Linked DNA regions of Bombyx mori. The protein of the gene in region 1 binds, or shares a complex with, the protein of each later gene. Links are inferred from orthologs where the notes say so. Each region holds a gene or a part of one and is shown in the gene's direction. Other genes may lie near its edges.

The links.
Region 2: eIF4AIII (region 1) and mago nashi share a complex: the UniProt entries of both Drosophila melanogaster proteins name them as parts of the mRNA splicing-dependent exon junction complex. The link is inferred for Bombyx mori from reciprocal best matches to the Drosophila melanogaster genes CG7483 and mago.

The regions. Positions count from the first base shown.
Region 1 is NC_085131.1:3,885,448-3,889,915, forward strand, and holds the start of eIF4AIII (eukaryotic initiation factor 4A-III), read left to right. Parts: upstream 1-1,336; 5' UTR 1,337-1,457; coding exon 1,458-1,608; intron 1,609-1,893; coding exon 1,894-2,229; intron 2,230-2,566; coding exon 2,567-2,789; intron 2,790-3,657; coding exon 3,658-3,912; intron 3,913-4,468. UniProt on the Drosophila melanogaster protein: ATP-dependent RNA helicase. Core component of the splicing-dependent multiprotein exon junction complex (EJC) deposited at splice junctions on mRNAs. Involved in exon definition of genes containing long introns, including the rolled/MAPK gene.
Region 2 is NC_085121.1:13,251,889-13,255,912, forward strand, and holds mago nashi, read left to right. Parts: upstream 1-1,473; 5' UTR 1,474-1,607; coding exon 1,608-1,865; intron 1,866-3,035; coding exon 3,036-3,218; 3' UTR 3,219-3,263; downstream 3,264-4,024. UniProt on the Drosophila melanogaster protein: Core component of the splicing-dependent multiprotein exon junction complex (EJC) deposited at splice junctions on mRNAs. Involved in exon definition of genes containing long introns, including the rolled/MAPK gene.

The DNA.
Region 1 (4,468 bases):
CTGCAAAGGAAAGAAATCTGATTTGCTCACTGTTTAAAATTTTAAATTCATACCCCTACGTAGGAATTTTATCATCAATCGAACCCGCGACACAATTTATTGAAAAGCTGTTGGTTTCAGTATACAGTTCATTCACACCCAGCATCCATTTTGATTCGTTCAAAATCAAATACGGTCGTTCTTTTGGCCACAAATTAAAACGAAATTCCTTCGACCAGTTCGACCTCTGAACGAATGCGTTGTTAATTGCGTTTTGTTTCGACCCAGTCGAAAAAATGTTTAGATCTCAAATTAATCTTGTAAAGCACAGTTAACAATTTCAACAGTTAAATTATAGAATCATATAATACATGTATTTTTAAAATTTGTAGCCGCATTATATCTTTTGCTGGTTACGCTCTAAAACTTTCTTTTTTTAACGTTTCTTCTTTCGCGTTTTGTATCACGTTTTTTTTACTTTGTGTATAATCTATAGCCGTTTTATTTCTTTTCCATTTTAGATTGTTACCTGTGACTCTTGAAACCACAGACTATCTACAAATCAACATTATTAATTTATTTTAGTAAGGGGTTTCGTCAGTAGCTATGAGCCCCCGCGTCGTCGCCTTTCAGTACTATAAACAATCACATTATTTTCGGATGAGTTCTTACCATCACTCCGGTTATCGCGGCTTAAGAATACATGAATAAATAATAATTAAAAAAAACTAAAATACACGTTTTTATAGAAAATCGTGAGATGCGCGGCGTCAATAGTTTAAATATTTTATTGACAGAAATTGCTAGCTAAGTCTTATCATTTTGATAATCTCATAAAAAGCATCCCACGCTTTTTTTTAAATAAATTTATTGTGATGTGTGGGAAGTAACGTTGTTGCACACTACATTATTTTCCATTTTTTAGTTGGATTTTCTATAAAAACATGTATTTTAGTTTTTTTAAACTATTATGTATTTTTCATTTTTTAGTTTACTTATTATCTATCATAAATTATTCTTTAATGTGCATTCAGGCAAATAAAACAGTTTCCAAATTTTCTAAGTGAAGAAAAGAAGGCGCAAAAATTAATTTGTTGTTTTGACTGCCGAAATTAAATAACGAGTCTACTGTTTAAAATATTGAATTATCATCGGTCCTTAATACCTAAGTATGCCAAATTTCAAGTTAATCTGACATTTTGAAGGTGGTCAAAATCATATTCAAAGATTCCGTTACATACCTACATAGGTATGGAGCTAATAAAAGCGTAATAATCACTTAATAGTCTATGGATCTTATGTATGAAATGTATTATCTATCTTATGGAATTAAATTCATTATCTATGGTGTTATCTATGGTTATGGACACAGTTTCTTAAGTTTCCCTTTAGTAATTTAGAAATTCAGATTCTAAGAGATTTTCACCTATCGTATAACTTGTTATTTTAAAAACTTAGAAGCGAACTAGATTCGAAAAATGACATCGTCTGAAGTATCGTCCAATAGAAAAATATTGTCGGAAGATTTGTCGAATGTTGAGTTCGACACGAGTGAAGATGTCGAAGTTATTCCCACTTTTGACTCCATGGGACTTCGAGATGAGTTATTGCGAGGAATATACACATATGGTTAGTACAAATTGTGGTGTTATTTATAATTATTACAACTGCCTACATAAACGATCATGTGGGCATTATCTTACCAGCTTTAGACCGTATTATGGTCGTCCGTCTGTCAGACTGTCGTCCTGTTTTTTCGCAACAGTTCTGCGTTCCGGCTTCGAAGAGTGACATACTAATTTACAATACATTTAAAATCAATCGCACTGTTAAACCTTGGGGGCTGGTAGATTCCGTATTGTGGTGTATGTGGGGTCCGGTAACCACTTAGTAATAACTAACGTTAATTTACAGGTTTCGAAAAACCTTCAGCAATTCAGCAGAGAAGCATCTTGCCTATAGTCAAAGGCAGAGATGTAATAGCTCAAGCACAATCTGGTACAGGAAAGACTGCGACATTCTCAATTTCAATACTACAGACTTTAGACACGACTCTGCGTGAAACTCAAGTACTTATTCTTTCACCGACCCGTGAACTGGCTACTCAGATTCAGAAAGTGATATTAGCTCTTGGAGATTTCATGAACGTTCAATGTCATGCTTGTATTGGAGGTACCAATCTTGGAGAAGATATAAGGAAATTGGATTACGGACAGCATGTTGTGTCTGGCACACCTGGCAGAGTTTTTGGTAAATAAATGAAAATTGCTAATCCAAGTAAATAAGTACTAATTGTTTTAGTTTCCAAAACCAAAGATAAACCTTCTGTGATCTTTTTTGTTATCTGGCTGGTTCACCTTTTTTATTTCTTGAAAGTAGTAACTTAACTTCCACTTCTCAAATTCACCAACAGTACTACTCACTACAGTAGTCTCACCACAAACCCATGTGTATGGTTTCAGGCATCTCAGAACAGGGATGGTGTCTATAAATTGTCATCCTTGTGCAATAATTGAAAAAGTTAAATAATCTATCCACTGCAAGATGTAGGGTGCCCTAGATTATAAGAAAACAATCTTATTTTCAGATATGATCAGAAGGCGTGTGTTGAGAACCCGGTCAATAAAGATGCTGGTTCTTGATGAGGCTGATGAGATGTTGAACAAAGGTTTCAAAGAGCAAATTTATGATGTATACCGCTATCTGCCTCCTGCAACTCAGGTTGTGCTAATATCAGCAACACTACCCCATGAGATATTGGAAATGACATCAAAGTTTATGACTGATCCAATAAGGATATTAGTAAAACGGTTTGTATGATTATTTCAAAAATACACATTAAAGTTCGAATTCTGCAGGCAAGTACTAATTTTTCTAATGAAATACGTACTTCACAATTGTTCACGATTAACTTCCATAGTGAAGGAATAACATCTTATAATAAAAATCAAACATGTAAAATTATAATTTGCGTAATTACTGGTGGTAGGTGGTAGGAATGTCTTGTAAGTCCGCACGGGTAGGTACCACGATCCTGTCTATTTTTGCTGGGACGCAGTAATGTGTTTTGGTTTGAACGGTGGGTCAGCTGTTGTACTGTAAAATGCGAGACACTAGAACTCATGTCATTTTATTTTTTTAGTGTCCTTGTAGGCAGACTAGCATACCACCCACCTGATGGTGAGTGGTGACAATCGCCCATGGAATTCAGTACAGCAAAGCTGTTCTAGGTGTCTATGGACTCTGGTAACCACTTAACACCATTAACACCGTGGGCCTTGAACTCATCCACCCACTAAGTTAAATGAAATATTTGTTTTATATTGCCCTTGAAGGAATTTGTCCACCTGATAGTGAGTGATTACTGCCGCCTATGGACACTAGTGACGCTAAGGGTTATTTGCCTGATATCTCATTTGAATAAAATTATGTCACAGTACTCAGGAAACACTAGAGGAGATTTAGATTAAGAAAAGAAGTTACATTAAGTGTAGAAAACTATCTGTTTTATTTTAGCATTATCAACTATACTATTTCTAGGATGAAGCTTATTTCTGTATGGACTATCATTTTGTTAATTGCTCAACACATAAACCTATGCAAGCTAAATAGTAATTAAGTAAACAAATTTTCTATCATGGTAAATGTATTTGAAATTAAGAATCATTTTTTCTACAGTGATGAGTTGACACTGGAGGGTATCAAACAGTTCTTCGTGGCAGTTGAACGAGAAGAATGGAAGTTTGACACACTTTGTGACCTCTATGATACACTGACAATTACCCAAGCAGTAATATTTTGTAATACAAAGAGGAAGGTTGACTGGCTCACACAGAAGATGCAAGAGGCAAACTTCACTGTCAGTTCAATGCATGGTGACATGCCACAGAAAGAGAGAGACAACATTATGAAGGAATTTCGTTCTGGTCAAAGGTAATGGAAATTCTATTAAAATAAAAACAATACGATCTTGAAGACTTTTAGTTTTCAAGATCTAAATGTGAATGGTTTCGAATTTCGTGAACTAATATCACTAGTGATTTAATATGAAAAATACAATTGCTCTTTTTTTTTTAATGTAAACGAGATATGGATCACCTTTACAGACAGCATTTATGTAATAATGCCTCTGGGCTTTTGTTGAGTGTTGGATGGGCTAGTGCTTAATGTCTAATATCTAATTTATAGTGTTATATAGTATGTAATAGATGACTATGTCTAGAAGTTATAGCAACTACAACCTCAATTCAGTTTTGAATAGTTATTGGTTTAGGTTATCACTCAATATATTGGTCAGTTTTTTAGAGGAACCATATTTTTCATGGTTCCATTATTATTCATTTGTTTCTATACTAAGCTTAAGGCCAACACTGGACAGGCATTATTCTTAAATCTCAATTATAGTTCTCTTTATGACAATAATCGAAATAAATACTGCAATGTGGCTTACCACTAATTTCTGGGCTTCTCATGATCCCCATAATATACA
Region 2 (4,024 bases), on another chromosome or scaffold:
TACATCTAAACCTAACCCTATACCTAGGACCTTAACCTACATCTAATCTAACCCTATACCTAGGACCTTAATCTACATCTAAACCTAACCCTAAACCTAGGACCTAAACCTAAGAATCCTTGCAACGAAAAAGATCGGACGATACCTCTGGGAATGTCGCCCAGAGGATCCCGTTATCCGCCACCTACGGACGCGCCACGGTGGAAGTCCAGCAAAACTCCCCCACAGACGGAGCCCCCGGCCACGCAGAGTGCGCACCGGGGGGCCCGCCCAGGTCCCGGGATTATAATGTATACCTACATTATCTCTTGAAAGATAAATAATGAACATATTTACTTATTTGTTTATATTACCTATATGAACTCTTAACCTATCTTTTTTATACCTTCATAGCGATAGGTATATAGGAGGATGGAAAAAATGTATTTGGTCTAACTTTACGCGAATGCACATTATTTTATTTATTTATTTTTTAATTTTTTTAATTAAACTGTATACCAATTAATCGATCCTTCAGGATTTATAATTGTTTTTTTTTTCACGATTAAAACCGCGTAGAAAGTTTAGGCATTATAGTTGACGCATGCGCCATAGATTATACACTTATGGCATGCGCAGTACACATATTTTGTATACATTTATTCAACTAATACAATTAATTAAACAAAAAATGAGTAATTTCGAAAGAGAACAAACGTATTTTATATAAGAACAATCGAAAATGAATATTTACGAGTAATTAAGGACGAAAAAATATTAAAAATTGCAATCGAGGGGCTAACTTTTAGATATATTTTTAATATTTTTTTTAAAATAATAAAATGGGGAACAAACAATTATTAACAATGAACAATCAAGAACAAATGATGAACAAACGAATTAATAGAAAATAAGTAGAAAACAGGAAAAAAAATTTTTTTTGAGGGGCTAACTTCATTCACCCTACAGCAGTGCTATCATACGAGTATCAAGGCTTTTGGTACTATTAAATATGCGAAAGGATTTTTGGCTGGAACGCGAGGAATTTTTATTTTATTTTAATATTATAGTCCGTTTAATTAATTAGTTACCTACGAATTGCTAATTATTCGTTCGAAGTTTTTTATTGAACTTCAATTAAGTATATCTCATTCGTACAGCTGAATAAGTTTTTGTGTTTTGATATTTTTTCCAAATTTTAAGCTTTCAACGGCTCTCGGGTAAAGTTGGAAAATTATCAAATTAACCAAACAGCCTTTCACTCCTCGATATCATCTCATCTTATTTTATTTCACGTTTGATTTCATTCAACTTCATTCCGTAATCTTCGTAATTTTTCCTCTTTATCTTTTTGCAAAATGCTAGGCTGTTTAGGCAATGTTCTCTTTGTCTTCCTAATCGGACAACTGGAAGTATGAACCTTCCATAAATCAAACAAACAAACACCACTCTACAATACTCTACATTGAATTAAACACGCGAGTGTAATCTGAAGTTTAATTCTGAAATTAATTTAACTGATAATTTGCGTTTGAGGGTTTTCTCATCATTGAGTAATTTTCTTTTAGTGTATCAGTAGAGCCGCTAAAGTGGAAGTTCTCGAGGATAAATTTAAAACTCTGTGCAAAATGTCTACGGATTTTTACATACGATATTATGTTGGACACAAGGGAAAGTTTGGCCACGAATTTCTCGAATTTGAATTCCGGCCTGACGGGAAACTGCGTTATGCCAATAATTCCAACTATAAAAACGATACAATGATACGTAAAGAAGCCTATGTTCACCCTTGTGTAATGGACGAGTTAAAAAGAATCATAATTGATTCCGAAATCATGCACGAAGACGATCGCCTGTGGCCACAACCTGATAGGGTTGGTAGGCAGGTATGTTAAAATTCCACAACTAACTAATATAATAAGGTTTTCCAAATTTCCTGAAAAAAATTATCATTGCAAAAAGTTAAATTTATTCTAACCTAAAACATTGATTTATAATTATATGTGTGTATTTTATTTAAAGACAAATTTAACACGGAAATGCAAAGTGAAACTAAGTTTTTTACTTTATTCTTTATGAAACAACCAAGTTGATGAACTATGAACTATGAACAATCCTATCCTAAATCTAATTTGAGGCAAACTCAACACTAAATGAAATATTAAATGCCTACATAGAAGTTATTCATCATCTTGGATTTTCACTTTAGTTTTCTGGTTCACATAGCGAAGATTTGCTAAAAGTATTTGGTATTTTCAAAGTACTAGCCCTGAACAAAGTTAAATCAACTAAAGAGTTTTTGGATTTGAAATGTTTTCATTAGGACTGATTTGTAATATGACCTGCCAAAAGGTTCATTTAAGGACATTCTAATACCATCTTTAGCTTTACTGCCCTGTACCATATAACATTATATTTTGTAACTACTGGCCCACTCTGTCAAATTAAATCTATAATTGCTTCATAGTAGAATTATTCAGAATGTTGGCGCTAACTTAGTTCATGGCCATACAGTATGCTACCACTAGTAATTATAATACTTAGTCTCTTGATTGATGGAAGTTGAAGGCAATCTGCTACAGCATGTGTCTTTGTAGATTACTGCTTGGCCACAGCACACTCATCTATGTCTTTTTAAGTCTTCTTCTTCTTAATCGTGATTTTGTTTTTAGTGATGCATTTGCTTTAAAATTTATGCATATGCTGTTATTATAATAAATAACATTGTATTTTACATCATACAACATCAATATCGCATGAACTCCCTTCAAACCCCCTAGGTGGCCCACACACTTGATTCCACATTCTTAACATTAAATTTGCTAATAGCTGAACTATAATGTAAGCTTGTTTAGACATGTAGATCTTTGAATTAGTGAAATAGTTGAAAAATCTCCCAAATTCCTTTCTGATTCTTCTCAAAATGTAAAAAATTTTTTTTTAATAAATTTAAATAACATTATTTATAATTTATTATTTGAACTTTAATTTATACAAATTATATTAAGACGAGAAACATTAATGCTGTACTAAACACTATTTTTATTAATTTTCAGGAATTAGAAATTGTTATTGGAGAAGAGCATATTTCTTTCACTACTTCTAAGACTGGATCTTTGGTTGACGTGAATCAATCCCGCGACCCTGAGGGTCTTCGTGGGTTTTATTATTTAGTTCAAGACCTTAAATGTCTAGTATTCTCTTTAATTGGGCTACATTTCAAGATTAAGCCTATATAAAAATTATAATCTCCTATTCTTGAGTAATAAAATATTTACATATAACAGTTTTATTTATTTTAATTAAGCCAAACACAAGTAAACAAGCCAAAGTAAAAAATTCATACAGATAATAAAATTATAGATATGCAAAAACCTAACTAATGCCCATAAAGAATAATAGATGGTAAATAAATGATGTTATATTTTTGGCTTGATTATTTTGGTTTTTAATGTTAATTTACCTCTTTTTACATAAATATGTAATATGGCAATGTTAATAATGTTTACTGTCTCTGCCAGAAAAATCTGCTAAGAACTCCACTAACTCCCACAACACAAATGTATGGATTTAGGTATAGGTGCAATGCAAGATTATTTTATGAATTAATCTACACATTACACATATAGTTTCGATTGTCTCCAATAATTAAGAAACTTTTTAAAAAATAATGAGAAATATGGTGTGAATTTTATTTTCGGTGTGGAGAAGATAAATTTACGTGTACAAGTGCCGAACAAAACATTTAGGCCATCAGTCTACTAATTGAAAAATCTAGCTATTTCAGCCTCTCGGTGAATTAAAATTTTATTTCCAACAATTATACGATATTCCTGCCTGAAATAATTCATTAAATACTTGTTGTATTTTGCTGTCGAAGCACATCCGGACACGGAACAAGTATGCATAATTTCAAAGAATTTAAAAACGATTCTTGCGACGTTCATTGCCGCTTTTGCCCTGAGTCAAATCAATCAAATCAAATCAAATCAAAAATTTTTTGATTTGATTTGAGTGTTTAAATGCGCAAACTTTATGCGATTGG